Linked DNA regions of Astyanax mexicanus. The protein of the gene in region 1 interacts with the protein of each later gene in a biochemical or structural test. Links are inferred from orthologs where the notes say so. Each region holds a gene or a part of one and is shown on either strand. Other genes may lie near its edges. The genes, in order: f5 and pros1.

The links.
Region 2: the proteins of f5 (region 1) and pros1 form a complex in vitro, tested with the Homo sapiens proteins (2 studies listed by BioGRID). The link is inferred for Astyanax mexicanus from reciprocal best matches to the Homo sapiens genes F5 and PROS1.

What each region holds. Positions count from the first base shown.
Region 1 is NC_064418.1:5,184,286-5,193,530, reverse strand, and holds the start of f5 (coagulation factor V), read left to right. Parts: upstream 1-5,795; 5' UTR 5,796-5,857; coding exon 5,858-6,000; intron 6,001-7,003; coding exon 7,004-7,086; intron 7,087-7,270; coding exon 7,271-7,393; intron 7,394-8,870; coding exon 8,871-9,083; intron 9,084-9,245. UniProt on the Homo sapiens protein: Central regulator of hemostasis. It serves as a critical cofactor for the prothrombinase activity of factor Xa that results in the activation of prothrombin to thrombin.
Region 2 is NC_064428.1:18,919,876-18,929,407, reverse strand, and holds the start of pros1 (vitamin K-dependent protein S), read right to left. Parts: upstream 3,856-9,532; 5' UTR 3,799-3,855; coding exon 3,729-3,798; intron 1-3,728. Other genes in the region: rasa3 (ras GTPase-activating protein 3), read right to left, coding at 9,238-9,313. UniProt on the Homo sapiens protein: Anticoagulant plasma protein; it is a cofactor to activated protein C in the degradation of coagulation factors Va and VIIIa. It helps to prevent coagulation and stimulating fibrinolysis.

The DNA.
Region 1 (9,245 bases):
TACAGTGGTGAAAAAGCAATACAACATACATTTTTTTTTTAGAAAGGTAAACGATAAGGAACTGGAAGTGAGATATGAGATTTGAATAATAAGCAGAACCTTAATATATCCCTGTTATCATTTTGATTCAGTTGATCTGTCAACTAAGATGTTTGTGTATGACATTTGGCTTTGGCAAATGTCTAGCACCAAAAAAGAATAACCATGAACTGAATGACCCTTAACCCTGTAACAAAATGATATATACGATGCAAAAATGTAGAAAGTGGCATATATTACACAAAAGAAACTGCACTGCACACTGTTTCTATATTACTAATCTGTGTAGGGTTACTAAAGGGTAAAAATTGTACACTATACATTCAGTGTAATTAGCTGCTGTCCAATCAAAAACATATATTTAATTTTGTCTGTTTTAAATGTTCTACATTCTTTGAACCTGGTACTCTGTCTAATAATTCTGGGCGAATAGACCAATAGAAATGTTCCAATTAAACAGAATAAACTCTTATTTTACCCAAACATCCATTCAAAATTAAGAACATTTTGCAAACGTGCAACAAACTGTGCAACATAGAGCTAGAACACTATAATAAATACTATAATTTCAGCAGACATGAGACAGTTTAACAGACAGGACACACTCTAAAAGTGTGTGGTGAGGATAAGGTGCTGAGATATGTAACTATCATACTGTAACATATAAATATAACGTACTGTAACATACAGTAACATCTAGATATATGTTGAACAATGTGTTGCACCTTTATTTTGTCTATACTGTACTGTATCTTCCATGTTGCACTGTGTGGTTCTGGAGGAACGTGGCTAATTTCATTGCACTGTGTACTTGTACTTATTTGGAATGACAGTAAAAGCCTCTTGCCTTGAACATAGAAAAGTGAATTTAGCTAAATGACGTATGTATATATGTATATATTTCTGATTTCTATTTTTTAACCAGATAACACGATAAGTATAGATACTGCAGTAATGTTAATATAAACAGCTGCTAGTCTGTGTGTGTGTGTGTGTGTGTTAGTATTGATTAGGCTGGACACGCAGACTGCAGAGGAGCCCAGCACACACCCTCACTAACACTAACACTGACACTGAGTACAAATAAAACAAAACACAGATAAATCCTTCAGTAAATTAGCTAAATAACAGTGTTTATGGTTTTGTTTCTACCTTTACCTGTCAATCAGCTGCTCTCCACTCTTCCCAATTTCACGCCGACGCTACTGCGCACGCGCACGGTGAATCCGGCGTCATCGCCCCGCACTTTCACAAGTAAAGTCCCCCTTCAGATCAGCTGTAAATAAAATACAGATATTTTTGTTTCGTATACATTTTTTAAATGTTTATATTTATTAAAAAATCATACAAATAATCTAAATACTACTCTAAGTTATATCTTACTAATTCCTATAAGTTACGTGAAAAATATTCACGTAAAAATAAAAAATATTATTTATTTAATTTTAGATTTTTTTTTTATTTCTTGACATATAAGTGACCGTGGTAAATATTATTTGTATATTTATATAAGTTTGTGTTGTAAAAAATAATGTTTATATTTTTAAAATAAATCATAAAACTTATCTAAAAACTACTGCAGAATATACTTTACTAATGCCTTTATTTTATATTGATAAAAATATTATTTATTTAATTTATTTCCCCACATATAAGTAAATGTGGAAAATTTATATATTGGGGTATTTATATATTTATATACGTTTGTGTTGTATAAATAATGTTTATATATTAAAAATAAATCATACAAATAATCTCAATACTTTTACAGGATATATTCTATTAATTCCTATATTTTATGTAGATAAAAAAATATATATATTATTTTATATAACTTATTTCTCCACATATAAGTGACTGTGGGAAATTATATAGGGAAAATATACTGTAATTTAAAATAAAAATAAAAACTGTATTTTAAGATATATTATAATATTACATTTTATTTGAAAATACAAAACATGCAGTCAACAAATCACAAAATAAATCAATGAAATAAATAAGTTAGAAGCATTTTTAGCTTCAGTTGAGTTACACTATATTGCCAAAAGTATTCGCTCACCCTTCCAAACCAATTAATTCAGGTTTCAATCACATCCAATAATACTAACAATATTTAGCCTAAACAGTAATAAGAGCACAGTAATGAAAAAGTGGAGATACTTTAGTGACGGTGCTGAATTAGTAGTTCTAAATCATTGGTAGAGAGAAGACAGTAAAGGACGCTAGAGAAGACAGTGAAGCATAAACCACAAGGGTTAAGATTCTCATTAGTTTTATCAGAAAATATAGCTGAATAGCTGTGAATGTTAGTCTGCTTGTCTCTGAGTCTGTTTCCTGAACACAAATTATAGTCTAGACAAAGCTGAAAGGATTTCCGCTGGGGAATCTTCACTGACAGTGTTTAGTCTTAAAAACTAAACCCTGTTTATAATTTCTTTTTGGAGTCTACATGTTTAATATCCTTGTTATTCATATTCTAAGTCTATGTAAGAGTTGCTGTTATTTATAGCAGCACCAGCAGGGGATACAATAGAGCTTTTCCTGTAAGGCTGTAGAAGCCTTAACAGACTGTTGCACCTATTCCATCCATTTATTTGACCCTTCCAGTGGTAAACTGTTAAGCAATGTTGGGTGATATGACATAAATGTGACATAATTATATTTTAATAATACATATTATTTTTATATATTAATTATACATAATTATACTAGAGATATTCAAGATATGGATAAAAGTACAAGTGCTACTCTTTATTCTTGACATCCATAATGTGTTCAGAAAAGCATATCATAATGTCATTATGTCTAATTATAGCTATAAACAGTGTCAGATCATTTGGCTCAGCTCTATATTTGTCTAAAATAAGTTTACTACTGTATAAATTAACTGAAATAATGTGAATACTGCTAAAAATGCATTTGTTTTGAGTTATAGTTGCTTATGCTTAAATTTCAGGTTTTCCTTTGTTTATGTGACTTTATTGCGGAAGCATTTTATTACCAGAGCTCCACCACTTTCTCCACCACTTCTGGGCATGTCAGTGACCTTCCACTTCTAAATCCTAACAGATGTGCAAAGTACCTTAGGGGAATTTTCCATCAGACAATGACGAAATTCCAACTAATTAAATTTTTCTGTCATGCAAGGTTTGTGATGCATATCGCTGTAACCATGCCAGTAAAAACATCACTGATCAGAAATGTGTTCCTGCTGACGGTAAGACAGTATGAGGTTCTTCTTGGAATTTTTTGACAGTTAACAGATTTTGCAAGATATTTTATACGAGTAAGACAGTCAGAGCCTCTGACAGCAGTGTTTTAGTTACTAAGTTACAAAGTGTCTTCATCCTTTTATAATCACTCACCCACACTTTATTTAGACAGTGTTGTCTCATCTCACTGCCAGCATTTCTTTATTATTTATTATTATTTATTATTTAACAATAAAAATTATTATTATTTATTGTATTTATTTTGCAGTCCCTGGTTGGTCACAGCATTTTAGTGTCATACCCGTGTGGAGCTACTACATCTGTATAATGTCCAATTTGATATGTCACTTATTTCTAAGTTACATTGATGACAGTCCAGTAACTTTACCCATGTTTTGGTCAGTGTTTATTGACTTTAACTTAAAAAAGAAAAAATCATTTGTCAGTTAATGTAATGCATCATGTCATGAACATCATAATACTACACTACATATGTTAAATAATATAATACAATATACAGTAATATTGTATTATATAAGTACATATTTTAATGCCACAGTCATCAGCTTGTTTTACAGATTTGAAAAAGTATCCAAACATGTAACAAGAAAAAATACAAGAATAGACAATTTGCTATTATTTCTGTTAGTAACAAAAACTAGATTTGAGGAAATTCCTAGTTTTACATTTTAGGGCAAATTCTATAGAAACAAAGGGATACATTAATTGAGCAATGTGAAATTATCAGAAAATAATATCACTATAAATTCTTAGATATAGTCTAAGTAAAGATTTCTTTGGCTCATAATGATACGATATAAAACCATTTTCTAAATGATTTATATGGGACCATCTACAAAAATTCTACTAATATTAAGAAAGGAAAACAAGCATTAAACATCAACATGGTCCTTCTGAGGTGATAACATGACAGATCTGTCCTATCTGCTTTAACCACAAATACAGTTTCTTTTCTTTTTTTGTGTGAACATGATGTACAATCTTTCTGTCCTATTTGTTCAGCTGCGTTTACAAATTGTCAGCACAAGTGGGCGTGTTTTTTTTTTTTTTACATATTAACCACCGGCTCTCACTACAAAATGAAAGTGAAAAAAAACAATTGTAGATATCCTCTGGTGATATCTAATGGAGAATTTATTGCTGTTACCTCCAATTATTATCACATGCTAAAAATGTCTAAACAGTAAACAGGAGATACATTAACATTTAGAACATGCTACTCTTTAATCTTTTAGTCCTCCATCTCTGAAAAAGTGAATGACGTCATTCTTCCAGGCAGTGAGCACAAATACTGCTGGTACCTGACTACTGACACGTCCCCAAAAGCTACAGTGTCACCTTAACAAATTACTCCTGAGCTGCATTCAGAAGGGTTCACTCATTGACTTCTTCATTATTCACTGTGGCATAACGTTATCCAAAAGCAGCGTGTAAGACTGATGAAGGAAAACATGCCAAGATGCATGAAAACTGTGATTAAAAACCAGGGTTATTCCACCAAATAATGCTTTCTGAACTCTTTAGCTCTTCTTAAAACTCTATAAATATGAACTTGTTTCTTTGCATTATTTGAGGTCTGAAAGCTCTGCATTTTTTTTTTTTTGTTGTTTTTTCAGCTATTTCTTATTTTCTCTGCTAAACGCTCTAAATGTTGTAAATGACCATATTTTTATTTGGAATTTGGGAGAAATGTTGTCCGTAGTTTATAGATGAAAACAACAATGTTCATTTTACTCAAACATATATCTTTAAATAGCAAAATCAGAGAAACTGATTTAGAAACTGAACTGGTCTCTTATTTTTTTCCATAGCTGTATATCGCTAACTAGCGGCTAATAAAGTTAGCTTAGCTAACATAGGTAGTTAGCTAACCTAGCTAGGTGGTGTTAGCTGGGTTAGCTAACTAGCCAAATACCTATGTTAGCTAAGCTAACTTCATTTAGCCATGTTAATCATCTGTTTTACTCTATACAGCTTATAAAATGCTATCTGCATGCTAAAATGTTTAAGGTACATAACCTATATGTACTTAATAAACATTTTAAAAAGAATACCGTACGTTTACACAAATGTACTTGTCTTTGTGTCTTTTTACAATATAATTATTTTACCATTTGTAATTTTACAATCTTTAATTGAATGCAGTAATGCCTTTTAAATTAGTCTAATATTAGCTGTGATCAAAATAAAGCAGGTTTATTAGGTACTGTGATTAAATGTAAAGTGTAAACTGTTATAGAGCAACTTACTAGCTAGCTACTGTACTGTACATTTCATAGTGTTCTTTTTACAATAGTATTTTTTTATAAGCTGCTACTGATGACTAAAAATAAACATGTGGTTTTTGATTGGTGATGAAAGAGCAGAGTAGAGAGTTCGTTGCCCGGGACAAAATGTTGAAACTCTGTGTGTCTGTGTGTGTCTGTGTGTAGGTGGGTGTGTGTGTCTGGCTGTGGAAGATGAGACAGGAAAGACAAAAAAGAGGGAGGGAGAGATAAAGCTATCTGCAGTCTTTACTGAGGGATCAGAAGCTTCTGCTCTTTAGAACAGACTGGTCTTACCTGGGGCTTCCATGCTGAGACATGAGGCTCTACTCCAGGCCAGAGGCTCCCTGTGCTTTGGCCCTTCTGGCGTTTCTGACCGGCTGTGTTTCAGCAGTGGAGAGGAAATACTATATTGCTGCTGTGAATATTGACTGGGATTACAATGCTAATGGAAATCAGAGGTATGGATTTATCTGCATTTTTTTTTAATAATATCACAAATTGATTTAGTTTAATTGTGCTTTTTCTCCTGTTATTTAATTTTGTGTTTCATGTTAAATAATGATGATGAATTAAAATTTTAATATTTTAGCTGTTTTTGTTGAGTTGTATTTGTATAAAAGCTGTCAAATCGGAATTCTCTTTATTCAGCAAATACTGATTTATTTAAAAAAAAGTAATTTATTCAATTTAGAGTCAGTTTATGGATTTTTAAACATGTCATCTGTAGAATGGATTGTAGAGTAGTGTTTCTTTTGTGCTTTTGTGTTTTTAAAAATATATACTATAATAAGTATAGTGCTGTTTAAACATCTTAGGAACTAATCTCAGCAGTGTTTTTTTCTTTCAATATCGTCATATAATTTAAGATTATTTCAAGGCTTTGGCTCCTAAATGCATTAATAAATGGCATTTTGATTGGACAAGAGTTGTTTTGCAGTTGAATAAGTTGTTTGCAGTGAGATTTATAGACAGAAGACATTTTCATACTATATAATGATTCATTCATTAACTATCCAATATTGTTAGAGGTAAATTCATACTTAAAATCTATACTTTATTTTTAAAATGACACAATTTAAATACAAATGAACAACATAAACACAGCAGTCAGAATGTATGTCCAGTAAATGTATGTCTACTGATATGTTAAAAAACACAGTTGACAGCTTCTTTAAACTTTAGACACTGTGTAGAATTGTCAGTTTCACCAGAAGCTCGCCTGATTTGCCCTTTAATACATTTCCATTATACACAATTGCACTACATTGTTTATTATTGTATTATGTTATTATTATCATTATTTTTTTTTATTCTAATGTCATTCATTTTGAACAAGTGATCATGTACTGCACACATAAATAACTTTATATTTTTTAAGTGATTTTATATGTGTATAAAGACTTTTAAAGCATTTCCTTCTGTTCCCTGTAAATCGTTGTGGTTATTTTCATGGCTTTACAGGGGTGGTCCCATATATAGAAAGACAGTGTACAGGGAGTACGATCAACATTTCAAACAGGCCAAGACTCATCCTTCGTGGTCAGGTATTTAAGACACTGATTCAAGTCTGACTGATTCTCTTTTTAACATGACATCACTGTGTCTTCCTAACACTTACAAAAAAATACACTCACGTCAATGTCAAAGTGAATGTCAACATTACTTTAGGTCCAATACATTCACAGACTTACTGACTTATGGATAATGAATAATTATGTATATCTTAAGGGCTGCTGGGACCCACGCTGAGGGGTGAAGAAGATGACGTCATCACTGTCACTTTCAGAAACATGGCCGATCATCCATGTAGCATCCATCCGCATGGCATTGCTTATGGAAAACAGTCAGAGGGTCAGTAAACTGATGTTATAATAACTTACTATGCTGTGTTTTACAAACATTATAATATATAAACATAATCCTATGTTTCTAGCTGGTTAAGCATTGACCTTCACTGTAAAATTGTGAGTTTACCTACCAGTAATTCAATAGCCATCACAATTTGCTTCTCTTTCTCTGGGTGCATAGGATGGCACCACCTCTCTCTCTCTCACTATTACTTAACACTTAATAGTGCTATCCAATTCAGACATTGACTGACTGTCATTTAGTGATCTCCTCCAAGCGTGTAGATCTTTTGAATAATGGACAGCATTAAAAGCAATTCAAAAATATGTGATGGCAAAATCACAGGAAGCAGATGATATTTTTCAGCCGCAAAGTGTTGGTGAAATTGTGTAACAGGATAGTAAAGGAGTAGGAACAGCCTAAAACTTATTTTATACACTATTTATTTGCATAAAATTTGCATTTATTTATTTTGTCCTTATTATACACTCATTAAGGCTTTAACCAGCCAGTAATTATTAACAAGTCATTAACAGGCTACATGTTACTACTGTATATTATTAAGCAATATCTAGACCAGGGGTCACCAACATGGTGCCCGCGGGCACCAGGTAGCCCGCAAGGACCTTATGAGTAGCCCGCAGGCCTGGTCTAAAAATAGCATTTTTGTTGCTATTCTTTTTTTTTTTAAATCACAGTTGCATTGATGTAATTTTAGATTATATTACATTAATATTAGCTTAGAGATAGCCTATAGTTTATATATTATTATACAATATAATGTAATATAATATGTAATATTATATTAAAATATAATATAAAATGTAAACACTTGCAGAGATTTATAATAATAGTGTTGCCTATTGATATCTGTGTCTTCACATAGATGAATGTCATTAATTATTAATAATAACATATAATTAAAGGTAAATTGAGAAAATTTGTAATTTCACGAGTGTGTATCAAACTGGTAGCCCTTCGCATTAATTGGTACCCAAGAAGTAGCTCTCAGGTTCAAAAAGGTTGGTGACCCCTGATCTAGACTGATCTAATACGACTTAATAAGAGCATTTCAAGTGCTTACTTTAGCCTAGTTACTAAAGACTGTACTTATAACCAGTTAAATACCTAGGACTACAGAATTTATAAGACCATTAAAATTTTAAGAACATTAAATGTTTGTTACATTGTTACTCGTTATTTTAAGAATATTTTTTCAGCAACAAGTTGAATAACTACTGTGATTTACTGAACATCCAGCACAAACAGGTCTTTATTTACCTTTTTCATACATATTAACCACAGGTTGTACCCAAGTCCAAATCGACAGCAAAAAAAAAAAGAACATTCGTTTACTCAACACATATCTGCTTCTATTTCCCGTTATATGATATAACTCTCTTCCTCTCTCCTCAGATGAATAATACTAAACATTTCGCAAAACATTCATATTTCTCAATTTAAATCCTCAATCTTTTAGGCTCTTTATACTTTGACAACACCTCCGACTTTGAAAAAGAGGACGATGTCATCAGTCCTGGCAATGAGCACACGTACTCCTGGGAGGTGAGTCCTGATGTGGTCCCGAAAGCTACAGACCCTCCCTGTCTCACCTACATGTACATCTCCCACCAAGACATTGTCAGAGACTACAACACAGGCCTGATTGGGATGATGCTGGTCTGTAAGAAAGGTAAGTCACTTAAAGGTTTATTTTTTAAGCGTCCGTGATCCTCATTATTGGGTATTACTTTCAATGTGTGTGCATTGCATCATCGGCCCTGTGCTCTGTTACTCTTTCGGAGATCAGAGGACCTGGTATCAGAGATAAGACTGTTTATGCTGAAGGTCAGCG
Region 2 (9,532 bases), on another chromosome or scaffold:
CCGACCAGTGCATCTGGGTACTTGTCTGATTACATTGTGCCAAGTGTAAAGTTTGGTAAAGGGGGAATTATGATGTGGGGTTGTTTTTTAGAAGTTGCGTTTGGTCTCTTCATTCCAGCCTTGCAGGAACAGTTTGGCCAAGTTCCTTTCTGTTCCAACATAACTGCACTCCAGTCCACAAAGCAAGGTCCATAAAGACACTGATGAACGAGTTTGATGTGAAAGACCTTGACTTCTTTGCTTGACCTGAACCCAATAAAACACCTTTGGGATAAATTAGAGCAAAAACTGTGAGCCTACAGGACCTGAGTTTGGGACCACCATGCTAGAAAATGAAGTGATGTATCAAAAACTGGAATAGCCCTGAGTAGTTGAATAAAGCATTAGATCATGGAAACAATAAAAATGTGGGAAAGTCATATTCCAGGACCACCCAGTGTTCCAAAGCACAAGATTCAGCACAAATAGGACTTGATCTTAAGAGAACAAAAACATTTTTTTTTACAAACCTGGTCCTGGAACCTTCCAGTCCTGCAATCACTTGTTCTACATTCTCCAAACACACCTGATTTAACTAATCAATTTATTATTAAAATTCCTGTCCGAATCAAAGTGGGTATGTTGTAGCATCTTCACTTGAAATTAAGTGAAGATAAGGCAACTGACAACTGTACTGTGCACTTTCAATGTTCTCAGTGTCTCGTTTTAAATGTCAGGGCCCTTGGAAATCCACCAATAAAGCGTGGAGCTACTATGAGCTTGTTAATGGCACAAAAAAGTGATTTCCCTGGATGGGAAATGCAATACCCCTATCACTAGCATTAAGGCACCATGTGGCCTCGGTTGCTCGGTCCTGCCGCTTTGCGCTCTATAACATCCGAAAAATTAGACCGTTCTTGACGCAACAGGCCACCCAACTCCTGGTGCAAGCGGTCGTCATCTCACGCCTCGACTTCTGCAATGCCCTGCTAACTGGCCTCCCGTCCTGTGTAGTAAAACCACTCCAGATGATCCAGAACGCAGCAGCACGTCTGGTCTTCAACCAGCCAAAACGGGCACATGTCACCCCGCTGCTCATTGAGCTCCATTGGCTACCAGTTGATGCTCGCATCAAATTCAAAGCTCTTACAATCGCCTACAAGGTGATGACAGAACAGGCTCCTTCCTACCTGCACTCGCTCCTGAAGGCTTACGCTACCTCCCGGCCGCTGCGCTCCTCCAGTGAACGTCGCCTCGCTTTGCCAAAAACTCACACAAAGCAATCCAGACTGTTCTCATACAGAGTTCCCCAATGGTGGAACAAACTACCTTCCACTACCAGATCAGGAGAATCTCTCGCTATTAGGGATGCAAATGATTAATCGACTTTAGATTAATTGTCGATCAAGAGGTTGCTCGAACAAAATGTATTACTCGCGATTAATCGCTAGAGGGCGCTACTGTAGTAACTTGAACAGAGCGTGAGAACGAGAGGTGAACACGACTCGCGAGAGACCAGGGTTGAAAACCAAATGAAGCGGGCGAAAATAAGTGCGGTGTGGGACCATTTCAACAATGTTAATTTAGGCAAAGAAGTCAAATGTTCTCTGTGTAATTCGGTATTGAAATACAACAGTTCCACTAGCTCACTCAGTTATCATTTGAACACCGTCACAGTTTCACTGAGAGCGCGAGCGTGTGATGAGAGAAGGGCGGAGGACATTACAGAGAGGATATGCAGCATGATCAAGAGAGATTTGATGCCAATCTAGACAGTTGACGGTACAGGGTTTCAGGATCTCTTTGCATTGAGGATTGTTGAGGATTTCCTAATTAATAGCCTGGATGCAGTTTCTTCATAATCTATAGGCTCAATAATAATCTGTTTGCCTCTCTATTTAATTTCTTCTATTCTTTTTTTTTTTTTAATATGTCTAATGGTACAAAAACGCAAAAACTGAGCCAGTCCTTAATTTATTTCTTTTTTTAAATTAAAGAATGTATTTTCTTATACCATAAAAAGTCTGATTTCTTTTCCTAATGCATAATTACTTGAGGAATATATAATATAATATAATACAATATAATTATCATAATATCATATATACTTTTTGAGCTCAGTGTTTTAACTATTTAGCTGGTATTTTTAAAGGCCCTATTGAAACACTAAAATTCAGGTAAAAACGCCGCTTATCAATTAATCGAAAGTCGATCGATAAGATCAATCAACTAATGATTAACGAATTAATCGATAATTTGCATCCCTACTCGCTATCTTTAAGAAACTCCTGAAGACAGAGCTCTTCAAAGAGCACTTAGACTCTTAAACACCTCTAACACACTAACTACTTCTATCCTCATTTCCTTCTTCCTCTCCTTCACTCCTCTATCCTATTATTCCCCTTTGTCCTCCTTTTATCCCTATCCAAAGATGTTTTACCTTTAAACTTATTTTACATTGTACTCAACTATTGTAAGCCGCTTTGGACAAAAGCGTCTGCCAAATGTAATGTAATGTAATGTAATGTAAAAGTGCTATATTCCAGAATGTTGGGGGTGAACAAAGGTGGGCTATTCGTCAAAAGTTTGTACTCGTTTTCATGTATCACTACACCACGAGTCTATTTCACATCGGATTTCTCCTTTAATAATAATATTAATTTATTTTTTGCAGTAGCATATTTATTTATTCATTTATTTATTTATTTTTACAAATTTCGATGTCTTTATAATATCGCCACAAATACTGCTATCCTATAAATACCCTGACATATTGTGATTAGTGTGGGACAAAATATTGATTTTGCGATATATTGTATTGTTTTTGTTTGTGATATATAATTGATATTTACTGTCCAATATCAGTGATTTTATTGAAACAAAGGTGCTCTAAACTTCCTAAGGCTACATACACATTACCAGGCAGAAATGACTCAAATCTGATTTTTTTTGCTCAATGTGGCTCAGATCTGATTTTTTTTAGTTATTTTGTGCTGTTAGCCAATCAGAGGCGATATGTTTGCATGCATGAATATTCATGAGCAAGAATCCTGTCTTCCTTCAGAGACCAAAGATAAAATAGAAATACCAGAGCACTTTAGATCACAAAAACAGCTCACATGGCATTCATTCATACTAGATAGCACAACTAGACATTTTAAAATGAATGAAAAACGATGGAGTGGGACCTTTAAGTATCGTAGAGAATCGTTTTTTTGCGATATTAGGAGTATCGCGGTACCTGCAGACCGTGCTGGAGGCTAGAACAGCAGATCAGAGGGTAAAATGAGGGCTGAATCAGTTTTTAAAGAACTGAATGGAGCTGAAGTGCAGCTCGCCCGCAGGTTTAACCGGATTAAGAGCGGACACTGAGTGCGCCAGCGGTTTTTACGTAGCTCGGGGGATTTATCTCACCACGTGCTGGAGTCCACTGAGCGAAAACACGTCCCTGCAGGGAGTTTGTACCTGTTTAACACGCTGTTAGTCTAAAGCGCGCGCTCTCACTGATCGATCAGATTCATCGATCTGCTACTCTAAACACGGCGCTGCCAAATAGTTTAATAGTGACGTAGTTCAGGATCTAACTAACCATAACTGTGATTCAGATTTAAGCCCACAGCCCTCAGTAAACTCAGTAATCGGGTGTGTGGGACCGAGTGAGCAGCTCCCGCGCCCGCTATCCGCTGTCTGAGTGAGAGCAGCGTAAAGTCCGGGTAAATAAATAAAGCCTGGCGGTAATGAATACTTACAGCGGTGGGCATCGCACACAGTCCAGACCAGCAGGAGGCTGGCCAGCGCCGCCGCTCTCTCCCCCCTCATGTTCAGGCCTGAACCGCGGGCTCGGAGGGGCTTATGTCGCTGCTGGCTGAGTTTCTGGCCGGTGGGAGAACTTTTTATTCCCCTCACAGGAGTTTTTTTTCGCTGCTTCAGCGAGGAGGTGCTGGGAGAGCGCCAACAGGCCAACAACCCGAGCGGCCAGAGAGGGCGCTGTTCCCCCGCCGCGCTCTGCTCTCCTCACCGCCTCACAGCAACCCTGCAGTCAGCCAGGTAAACCTGCACACCAACGACCCTCAGCTTAGCTCTGTTTACCTGTAACAAAACTCTGTTTACCTGTACCAACCCTCTCTATACCTCGGTTTACCTGGAACTGCCCCTGTTCAGCTCTGTTTACCTGTAACAACCCACTCTATACCTCTGTTTACCTGGAACAACCCTCTGTTTACGTGTCCCAATCCTCTCTATTCCCTTTGTTTACCTGTAACAACCTTCTGTTCACCTGTATCAATCCTCTCTATACCTCTGTTTACCTGTAACAACCCTCTCTATACCTCTGTTTACCTGTAACAGCCCTCTCTATACCTCTGTTTACCTGTAACTGCCCCTGTTCAGCTCTGTTTACCTGTAATAAACCTCTGTTCACCTGTATCAATCCTCTCTATTCCCTTTGTTTACCTGTAACCACCCTCTGTTTACCTGTATCAATCCTCTCTATACTTCTGTTTATCTGTAACAGCTTTCTCTATACCCGTTTACCTGTAACCACCCTCTGTTTACCTGTAACAACCCTCTCTATACCTCTGTTTACCTGTAACAGCCCTCTCTATACCTCTGTTTACCTGTAACTGCCCCTGTTCAGCTCTGTTTACCTGTAATAAACCTCTGTTCACCTGTATCAATCCTCTCTATTCCCTTTGTTTACCTGTAACCACCCTCTGTTTACCTGTATCAATCCTCTCTATACTTCTGTTTACCTGTAACAGCTTTCTCTATACCCGTTTACCTGTAACCACCCTCTGTTTACCTGTAACAACCCTCTCTATACCTCTGTTTACCTGTAACATCCCGCTCTATACATCTGTTTACCTGTAACAACCCTCTCTATACCTCTGTTTACCTGTAACATCCCGCTCTATACCTCTGTTTACCTTTAACAACCCTCTCTATACCTCTGTTTACCTGAACCTGCCCATGTTCACCTCTGTTTACCTGTAACAACCCTCTCTATACCTCTGTTTACCTGGAACTGTCCCTGTTCACCTCTGTTTACCTGTATCAATCCTCTCTATACCCCTGTTTACCTGTAACCACCCTCTGTTTACCTGTAACAGCTTTCTCTATACCCGTTTACCTGTAACCACCCTCTGTTTACGTGTAACAACCCTCTCTATACCTCTGTTTATCTGTGACATCCCGCTCTATACCTCTGTTTACCTGTAACAACCCTCTGTTCACCTGTAACAACTCTCTCTATACCTCTGTTTACCTGTAACAACCCTCTCTATACCTCTGTTTACCTGAACCTGCCCATGTTCACCTCTGTTTACCTGTAACAACCCTCTCTATACCTCTATTTACCTGGAACTGCCCCTGTTCACCTCTGTTTACCTGTAACAACCCTCTGTTTACCTGTAACTGCCTTCTGTTTACCTGTAACTGCCTTCTATTATACCTTACCTTATATTTGTTCTTTCATTATTCAAGTCTTAAATTGTTAATTAATATTAATTATGATGTCCTTTAAGCTTGCATATTTTCTCTGTTTATCTATGGTAAATAAATATTGTTTTTAATTTTCATTAGATTCTTGTCTGTTGTAAATACTCAAGTACATTACAATGATGGCAATTTTAATGTCCAATAATATTTTCTCTGTAAATATTTTAGTGTATAACTAAGAATTTATTAGACTATTTTTAAGCATAGACATTCTAGCAGTGATTTAAATCACCTGCATAAAAATTTTGAAATGTGTTTTGTTTTTTTTTTTCAAAAAGATTTGAACCTAAGAAATGACCAGTAAGCATAAGTACACAACATTAACTGAGGGCAGAAATTAATAACAAATTTACTGTAATTTGGTGCACAATCATTGGTTTGTTGTTAAATTTTCTTCCCTTGTTTCTCCCATTTACTCCACAGCCATGTTGACCTACACTCATCTGTTGACTTTCATCTGCTCAACAGCCACCAAATATTAATTCTGTTGTTTTTCATCCACACATTTAGTTTCGTAAATAACTAGTTTAAAAATTTAAAATATATATATATACATTTTATAAACAATTGTCAAGCATTTGTCAAGCATTCAAGCAATTCCTGTTGAAAAGATGATAAACAGTCAGATGTGTCTAAATATAATAAAAACACAGACACCATTTTGTTGCTATTGTCTTCATTTGGACAAAAAACAAAACAAAAAGAAATTTTGCATTCATGTTTTCATAACGCGTTCCACATTTGACCTGTACACATCACAGACTTGTAATAATACTCTTTATATACTTATATAAAATACACTGTTCTCCCTTTTTAAGGTTTCACTTTGAAGAAAATTATTGATTTGTAGCTGGACTATAGGATTTATCAATTATAATTTGTAACAGATCAGATATTGGTAAAATAAATGATCATAAAATTATTGCATCGTTTATACTGTGCGTCTGAAGAGCGTACAGTGCTTTTTCGTAATCAAATAACTTCTTCCACAAAATGCTATACTGTGATATAAAAATAAATACTGAACTTTTTGAAGTGGGTAGCAGAAGGCTGTCTGGCTTCTACTGAAACAACATATTCACACTAAAACATGCAGTACTGAGCGAATTATAGTGAGGCATGTGGGTCATTAATATAGTTCAGAACCTCAAACACGGAAGAACGACACTCATGATGTCACAAACAGAAATGAAATGCTGGGAGATCACTGGTGAAAATGGAAAACCTGGAAACAGAATCATGGAACTTTGAGAATTCTTCAAAAGAGAAACTGGAAATGTTGCTTCTCCGATTCCATTCCATTAACATACACTCCTTTATACATACATGCTCGCTTGCTTCAATCCGCAATTATTCATACACACACACACACACAGGTTCTGAAACCTGTATCTCAAAGGGCAAGAGTTCTCAGTACAAGACACAGATAGAAAATGCATTAATTACAGTACATAAAATTCAACAAAAGTACAAAACACACAAAAAATGTCTGGCATCGATATAACTGGCAGTCTGTTCTTAAAAGGGCAGCTGTTGCACGCCAGGTAGGTTCTCTTAGATGATTCAGATTTAAGAAAGGAGCACTACAGTGATTGGCTTGGAATTGGTGACAAAATATTAGTACTGAGTTGATTGTTGCCGTGTCTTTGACATTTGACACTGTGCAAAAGCTAGAGACCAGCGTTCACGTTTTATTTCATCTCCAATATAGGCCGCACAACTTAGAACCAATATGTGTGGTCTGTGGGCTTCAGTGATGGGCCCGACATATATACAGCTCTAACAAAATAAAAGACCACTAGGGAATATAATCAAGAGGAAGATGGATGATCACAAGCCATCAAACCAAACTGAACTGCTTTAATATTTGTTGTCCAAAGTTATCCAAAAGCAGTGTGTAAGACTGCTGGAGGAAAACATGACAAGATTAATGAAAACTGTGATTAAAAACCAGGATTATTCCATCAAATATTGCTTTCTGAACTCTTAAAACTTTATGAATATAAACTTGTTTTCTTTGCATTATTTGAGGTCTGAAAGCTCTGCATCTTTTTTGTTATTTCAACCATTTCTCATTTTCTGCACATTGGGCCTAGATGGGACCTACTGTACCAGTCAGAATTTGTTGTACATTTGTGCAACTTTATAGGCACCTTTAGAGTAATAAAGTCAAAGTTGGTTTTGGTATTGGTACTCAGTATCGTTAAATACTTGAAAATTTGTAATCTATATCGGAATATTGGAAGGGGAAAAGTGGTATCGGTCTATCCTTCAATTAATAGTAGTAAATATAAAAAATTCTAATGTTATATGTAGTTGAGGCTTCTGTGTGATTTTCTGTTAAATGTTTATATTTTCTACTTTTGTTCTGCCTGTAAACCGATCATTTATTAATTAATCAATAACAAACTTGGCTACTAAGGAAATAAATGAAAGCTGGTCTATAACATCTGCACAGTGCTATGTACTGTAACTTTAACTGTAACTGTGCCTACGCTGTAGCTAATTGGGTTTAACTGACAGGTTTACATACCAAAAAGTGTAAAGGAATGTTCACAAAAGCAGGAAACAATACTGCAACACGTCTAAACAAGGGCAAGGTGCAGGCAAAAATCAACAAAGAAACACTTTAGATACCAAAAAATGGCAACAAAAGAAAGCTTCCATAACGACAGTCGACCTAAGACAGTATTATACCTTGATATCTTGGACACTGTCATTATAAGAATAAGAAAAAAAGATTACAGTTAACATCTGATTCAGATAGGTCCTCTGAAGCTGAAACAAATCCAATCCACCGTCCCAATTCAGAACAATTAACCTAGATAGCACAAATTTAGGTCTGATTCTGGACCAAAAGCTTGGCTCACATCCGGGCTGAATGACGGATTTGCCAACATTAGCCGCATGTGCCAGCACCCTGGTTCTAGAGTGTAACATGGCGATTAGCCTGCACTGCTTTTACCAAAACCCCAGTTGCTGAGTATATACCACATTTGGCCCAATTCCGCATGGCTGATGCCGAATCTCAGGCAATGCTGCCATACATTGGCCATACTTGTGTGTGATTCTTAATGCTATCTGGGAAACCTCTGCTCATTTGATTGACAACATTTTTTGTTGTACTTTGGCTATACTTACATTGCCAGCACTTAAATGCAGCTCAATGAAAATTAAAGAAAGTTTACCCATTACCCGGATTCCCATAGCTACTGTCAGCAGGCTCTTAATTTTCTGAACTGGTTTGTGATTGGTTGTGAGGCTGTTATTACAGGCATGCACCAACAAGACTAAAAAATTCACTGACTAAAAAAAAACAAACATCAGAAAATATTCTCAGACCTATAGTTTGGTCCTGAAGTTTGAGAACAAATAGAATAAAATAATCAATACCTAAAACAAAGTCTCTCATTGGTGGATCCATATTTTTCCTTCTTATTTTTTTTTTCATACAAAAAAAACTCGTATTACAATGTTTAAAACATGCCATGAGGCAGAGCTACATCGTCGACGGGGCAGGTGTGACGATTAAAGTGCATATGGCCGCTGACACACAGTTCAGTGGAAAGCTGTTGATTGGGTTTGTACATCATACAAAAAGGTATAGATAGCTTCATGTGAGCTTCACTCTTCGCTGCTTCATCTTCTTTACTGCTTTCTCCTCTTCCTTCTTTAGTCACAGCTCGGTGTTGCTGTGTCGTACGCTCACTGCCGTGGTGTTCGGTGCAGAGAGAAGGGCACGGTGCTGATTGGGCAGTTGGGTCAGATTGAGTAGGTGGAGCTCTCTGATTGTTGGCGAATGTAGCACTGGAAGCTCTTGTCACCGATTGGATGCTCCCTGTATTAATAAAAAACAAACAAACAAACAAACTACAGATTAGTTTGTTGCCCAATAGCAGCACACTCTGAACACCTATAGAGGACGAAAAATGACATAAGTATAAATAAATGCACATATACAGCTCTAAAAAAAAAAAAAAAAGAGACCACTTTAAAACGATAAGTTTCTATGATTTTACCAAATTGAAAACCTCTGGAATATAATCAAGAGGAAAAT